Linked DNA regions of Danio rerio. The protein of the gene in region 1 purifies or fractionates together with the protein of each later gene. This does not show direct contact. Links are inferred from orthologs where the notes say so. Each region holds a gene or a part of one and is shown on either strand. Other genes may lie near its edges. The genes, in order: nap1l1 and h2ax.

Region 1 (3,835 bases):
GTTCAATAAATAATAATTTCATGGGCCGTGGGCTAGTGATTCTGCCCTCGGTTGTAAATCCCGACATGCACATTTTCAATATTAATAATTTAGATAGTGCTCGGCAGTAGTTTTCACTGAGCTCTTCAGTATAGAGTCTGAGTTGAGTGATTTTGGGTTTCAGCTGCACGATCGACTGGACTAAAGGCAAGAACGTCACATTGAAAACCATCAAGAAGAAACAGAAGCACAAGGGTCGTGGCACAGTGAGGACGGTCACCAAGACGGTTCCCAACGATTCATTCTTCAACTTCTTCTCTCCGCCTGAAGGTACATCATTTTACATGCGTTGAAAATTTACAACCCGTTTACCTCACCCTCGATTCAAGAGGATTTTGATCTGTGAAGCATTAGATGTTAGTTTTTGTTGACTTTAGCTGGTTTATAGAATACATGTCAATGGCTGTAGGCACTTTCAAGACTTATTTTTTTTTTTGCACTACACTTAACACAAAACAGTGAGTTCTCGTATTACTGTGCCATGTTTTACTAATAGTACCATATATATTTTGTGGAGGTGTGGTGTCATGCATGTAAAAGTAATATAAAATCAATATACACTCTAGAGAAGAGCAGTAAATAAGTGCTGTTTATTACAGCTGTTGTTGATTTTAGTGCTGGGCAAATATTAATTGCACCCAAAACTAAAGTTTTTTTTTGACCGTACGTGTACTGTATATCTAAATGCACATGCATGCATATATTTAAATGAATGTTTGTTTATATTTAGTAATATTAAATGTACGTATTTTTATAGAAATCCATGCATGATGGATATATAACCACAATTTTTTTGGTGTAATTAGTTGTAATCTTTCCCCAGCACTAATTAATTTATGCTTTTAAAATGAGTAGATTTAGTTGATTTTATAAATTGCAGATAATCTGAAAGTTTAAGTTGCTTCCAAGTATAAAAAATAAGGATGTCAGTAATTCAGGATGAATGTTGTTAAAGCCAGTGCAAATACTAATGAAAAAATCATGTTTCCACTAATGTAGAGCTAATCTTTCGTATGAGTGTTTTTCCTTACTTGACTGTATTTATTTAATTTTTTTGCAGTTCCAGAAAGCGGTGAGCTGGTGAGTGGATCTTCCTACTTCTAAACTTAATATCCAAATGCGCAATAAAACAAACTGTTTAATTTTGACTTGGGGCTTAATTTAGTGTGAAATTGACCGTAAAATGAACTTGTATAATTAATTTCTTTGATTGCTTGTTTTGTGACATCAGCTTGCAGAAATCGAGATATGCTGGTGTATATAATGGTATTAAATGAGTGTCACACAGTAATATTAGGAGTGAAAGTTTGTTGATGCTGTTTCAGGATGAAGACTCAGAGGCAGTTTTAGCAGCAGATTTCGAGATCGGTCACTTCATCCGTGAGCGTATCGTTCCCAGAGCTGTGCTGTATTTCACTGGAGAGGCCATCGAAGATGACGATGATGACGTGAGTGAACAAGACCACATAAAACTGTTCATTCCTCTAACTAGACGACTAGTCAGTGTTTATACTGAGAGCACTTTGACGTACATTTTTGTACTTTAATAGCAGACGTGGAAAGAATTTACCTTATTTGTTAATCATCTAGTATTCATGTAAAAATTCTTATTGAATTGTGAAGTTGTATTCCCTTTGTTTATATTGATTAACCTAAACACAGTGTTAGTTTTTAAAGTGGTAAAGCCTTAATGTAATCTAGATGTATATAGAATATACTTTTTCTCTCCATGAAAATGGCCATAGGAGTAGGCATGGTGTTAAATGGAAAAAAAATAAGAAACCAAATGACCAAAAGTTGCCCAATATTCCTCAATCTGAACACTGTTTTTCTTTTTCAGTATGATGAGGAGGGAGAGGAAGCGGATGATGAGGTTGGTGTTTATTTTTTTCTATTTGCATATCATAACCGATTACACAATTACAGAACAATAATCATGAAGGCACAGCAAACTTTTTACCCCATTCTCCCTCCCAACAACCCATTCCCTTAAAAAAAAAAAAAAAAACTAAATAAATAAATAAAATATAAATAAATCAACAAATAAATATGATAAAAAAGGGGATGTTTAAATCAGGTAGAGAGTGTTTACTGAGTGTTTAATCCATGATACTTCCCATATTCCTAAGCTTGTTCTAGTTGTAGTAGACTGTCAACATTTACATTGTACTTTAGAAAGTTATTAAAAGGTCTCCAGATATCTTCAAACACACTTTGTTTCTTTTTGACAATGTATGTGATCTTCTCCATTGACATATGCCATTTCTTTAATCCTGTGTTTTTTTTTTTTATTACAATTTTTTTACTATTAATAATAAGTTAAACTTGCAATAAAAATGAATCCTTTTTAACACACGTCCAACATTGCCTTTAAATCTCCCTGTTAATTTTTTTTTTCTTCTGGAGTAATTCCTATAATCATGAATTATAGTGTCAAGCCTGAAATTATTTGTACTGTTCGCAAGTTTGACGGTGGGAAATGGCGTTGGCTCCTTCAAAAAGATCATAAAGAGATGTCCAATAGGCTTCATAGTGCCTAGAAAAACAATTTCTCTGCTTTTCTCTACATTTAAACAAAAACTAAGTCAGAATTAGCCAGCGTATGGATCATTTCTGGCTTGACAAATGTTTTAGGACATCTTTGATTAAATCTCATGATCCACTTCTAAATGGTGACTACTATATAACGTTAAATTATGTGGTCAATCTTATATTAGTCTTTCTTTTTGATTGGCTGCAGAACAAACCACTGTTCTCCCAGTGACTTGCCTATTTAACCTAGCATGCCTAATAAATCATAAGCCCTTTAATGAAACCAACTGATGTGTGTTTGTTTTGCAGGAGGGCGAAGAAGAGGCAGATGAGGAGAACGATCCAGACTATGAGCCCAAGGTAAGAGTCCAGACGTCCGTTAGAGCTGCTCATAAGTGTCTGATACTGAGATCTCAACATACAGAACTCAAACGGTCACCTCCACTCATCCAGACACACTCATCTCTCAACAATAGTGTGTAAACCGCTGTGCAAATAGTTAAGCGCACATATACACAGCCCAGATGGCCGTCTTTCCTGGTGTATCCACCTTTTTTTTTTTTTTAGACATGCTGATATTCAGTACAGTTTATAATAATGATTGAATATGCATAATGCTGTTATTGATCACTTTTAAAATAAGAATACAACACTATCTGTCTCTTAATAGTAATATTCTGTGTTGTATTGGCAGTGGTTCATCTCAGCACCAAATTGCACCAAAAACAGGCTAGTACTTCATTTAAGACGCTGAATGTTTAGTTTAATGGATATTCCTCCCATAATTGATGTAAAACATCATGTGCTGCAGGGCAAAGGTGGATGCACTGCCATCTCTGGTACACGCATTAGTGGAAGATTATCTATCTCTGCTGCAGTCAGTGGATGAATGAGCGCAGTGTTTGCGGAGCGAACATCTGTTAGTGCAGGAGCGCTCTGACCTTTAACCCTGCTTTATAAATACCACAATGCACTTCTGTGCTTATTTTGGGTTCTCGCCTCTAAAACTCCTCTGAAGCGGCTGTGTTTAATACACGCACTGCCCTACAAAGGTCAGTTTTTGATTTTTCACACTCATTCTGCCTTTTTTTTTTTTTCTCTGAATCTGTGCGTGTTGAGGACTCTGACTACTTACTCCGTCAGGTCAAAGGTCAGGATGGGAATCATAATGGATGCTTGTCCCCTGGCTTTACTGAGCATCTTTGCTGTACAATTTGATGTTTTATATGAAAAATTTAGTACAAATATTGAATTATTGTACTGT
Region 2 (2,952 bases), on another chromosome or scaffold:
AAAAAAAATGTGTCAAAGTATCCCACATTTCCTTTTATCACTGGAAGAATATTCATGTAATAATCAAAGTACTGAGGTGCTAAGATTTTATGGGTGTTTTAGCACCATGTAAGATTTTTACTGGCAAAATTAGCTGTCTAAGTTCGTGTTAATATTTTATATTTATGTAGCAAGTTGTAAAGTGCCTTCCAAATGTGAAATTGACCAGCTATACTATAGCAATTACTTGGCCAGCAACATTGTGTTGTCAAATCAACATGAGAATGAATTAAAAAATGTGTTATAAATAATAAAGTATATCAACAACCCCCTGATGAGTTCTTTGGTTTTTTGCTGACACTGGAAAACAAGACTCACACTATCGTTCACTCATACATAAAGACTTTTTACATTATGAAAAAGACCAGAGAATTACTTTGCCTTACCTTGTGTTTATGAAAACCTAGTTTCCGTTTTCCAAATTAACTCGTATAAATTAATTATGAGAAAAAAAAAATGTACCGTTAAGAAATAAACACTGAAGTAACGTAAATTCTTAAATTGTGATAACAGTTAGCCTAAATCGGTTCAAAAAACACCAACATTAACATTATTAAAAAATGACAATTTAATAAGCAAAGCATGCATCTCAAAAATACAAGCTATATCACATTCAGACACATGGAAATTGCTCTTTTCAGAAGAGTTGGGTGGCCCTTAAAAGGGCCTTTGGATGAATTAGCTCAGTTCAACATTTAATACTCTTGTGACTGGGAAGATCCCTTCTTTCCAGATTTGCCGGAGCTGGCTGCAGCCTGGCCAGTCTTCTTGGGCAGGAGCACGGCCTGGATGTTGGGCAGAACACCGCCCTGTGCGATGGTCACTCCGCCGAGCAGTTTGTTCAGCTCCTCGTCGTTACGGACGGCCAACTGGAGATGGCGAGGGATGATACGAGTCTTCTTGTTGTCTCTTGCGGCGTTTCCCGCCAACTCGAGGATCTCAGCAGTCAGGTACTCGAGCACGGCGGCCAGATACACGGGGGCACCGGCGCCCACTCGCTCAGCATAGTTGCCTTTACGAAGGAGACGGTGAACACGGCCGACGGGGAACTGAAGACCGGCGCGGGAGCTGCGAGTCTTAGCCTTAGCGCGGGCTTTTCCTCCGGTTTTACCTCTTCCAGACATGTTGAATGGCTTACTTAACTCTTCGCGTGTGCAAGAAATCAGTACATTGGCAGTGAAACTGCTGCAGTATTTAAAGACTGGTTGAACGTTCAAAGCATAGTCCCGCCCACACATTTGATTGGTTGCGCGAAGGGAAGTACAGACCTGATTGGTTGTCGGTGGTGAAACCAGAGCGGATGTAATCCCCCATTGGCTTGAACTTGCAGTGCATAAACAGCGCAAAGTAACGAACCAATCAGAGTGTATCTGAATATGCGAGAGCTGATTGATTCGCTTGGTTCGTCTGCGCTAGTATTGGTCTTTCTTTACCTCAATCACATTTCGGCGGTAAGTTCAAACCAATTGAACATATTCCCTCTGAATTTTAACACAGTTTGACGCAAAACCAATTTTTTCATTTGTTTAACCCTCTCATGTACACTTATTGTGACGTAATATTTTATAGATTTAATTCACTCAATGTAAATGTCTTTAAAATGTGATTTGTATGCGATTTCTTTAAAATGCACAATGAATTAAATCACTTTGTCGTGATGTGACACTAAAGTGATTCAGTGTGCATTTTAGATAAATTCACTTTTAGCTGATTAATAATGGGAAATAAGAAAGGAGGAATGGTTTTTCAAAAATAATTTATTCAGAATAAATTAAACATCAAATGAACAACAATATAAAGCTCCGAATACCTCAGAAGGCCCAGCAGCAGCACCTTCACTTCAGATTGTTCGCTGTCATCACAACATTTTGCTCATACATTTTTCAGGCTTTATGCTCCAAAATGACTATAAAGCGCTGAGCCATTGACTCGTGACCTGCAATTCACTGTATAATTGCTAAAATGCTTTCCTGTAGCTATTATTTTGGTTAGAACACCCTTGCCTTTATTATAAGTTCAGGTTATTTGGAATGAAAAACAAAAGTCTGAGAATTGCATTGAGTCGTATGGGTGGGGAACCCCAGCAGACTATTTTTTAGTTTAATAGGCGTCTAATAGACATCTAAACATAAACAGCTTGGATTAGTCAAAACTACACTAGTCGTCAGATAGACAGACTTTATATATGTAGTCATTAATTTCTGTTTATTTGATGACTAGTCTAGTTTTGGCCTATTTTAGACGTCTACTGGAGTTTCACTGACAGCCCTTTATTTAGCCATGAGGACTGTTTAGACGTCTATTAGACATCTTAAAAAGGGAAGATACTGCGAGAGATTCTTTAAAGGGACAGTTCATCAAAATGATATTTGATTGGGGGTTTCAATCCTGTTTCGTGCAACATGAAGAGTTTAATGCAGATAACCAGCTTCAGTTACCACAGCATCTTTATATCCATCAAATGAAAATGAATGGTGACCACGTTGAGTAGGAGGTTTGAGTATGAACTACTCCTATATTTGACCTTACATTACCAGAAAACAACAAAGCCTCCTGCTTAGTATTACAATAAAAAGCTACCACTAATAAAATCTACTTTATGTATTTGACGTGCAAAAGACCTTTATTGCAGCTCACTTTAAATAAACGCGGTTGTGTGTTACTGGGGCAGCGCCTGTTCGGTTTAAAAAGCCATCTCTGAAAAAAATAAAGCGATGAAACTTATTATACCTTTTATATTAGCCCCTGAGGTTTCACGTGGACCCTGAAAATAGCACTTTCCCACTGCAGATCCAGCCTGATGCATCTCACGAGGTTGTAGATTTACAATAATTCCTGGAATAATTTATAAATATGCACAAATGCGTTTTTTTGACCTGTAGTGTGTCCCTTTTGTCAAACGAAGGGCTCGTG

What was found.
Region 2: the proteins of nap1l1 (region 1) and h2ax purify together in Homo sapiens (affinity purification with mass spectrometry; 3 studies listed by BioGRID and IntAct, counting the BioPlex papers as one, with this or other methods). This does not show direct contact. The link is inferred for Danio rerio from reciprocal best matches to the Homo sapiens genes NAP1L1 and H2AX.

Annotation. Positions count from the first base shown.
Region 1 is NC_133179.1:2,689,604-2,693,438, reverse strand, and holds part of nap1l1 (nucleosome assembly protein 1-like 1), read left to right. Parts: intron 1-163; coding exon 164-309; intron 310-1,099; coding exon 1,100-1,119; intron 1,120-1,364; coding exon 1,365-1,487; intron 1,488-1,879; coding exon 1,880-1,912; intron 1,913-2,880; coding exon 2,881-2,931; intron 2,932-3,835. UniProt on the Homo sapiens protein: Histone chaperone that plays a role in the nuclear import of H2A-H2B and nucleosome assembly.
Region 2 is NC_133180.1:31,151,460-31,154,411, forward strand, and holds h2ax (histone H2AX), read right to left. Parts: upstream 1,207-2,952; 5' UTR 1,164-1,206; coding exon 735-1,163; 3' UTR 590-734; downstream 1-589. UniProt on the Homo sapiens protein: Variant histone H2A which replaces conventional H2A in a subset of nucleosomes. Nucleosomes wrap and compact DNA into chromatin, limiting DNA accessibility to the cellular machineries which require DNA as a template.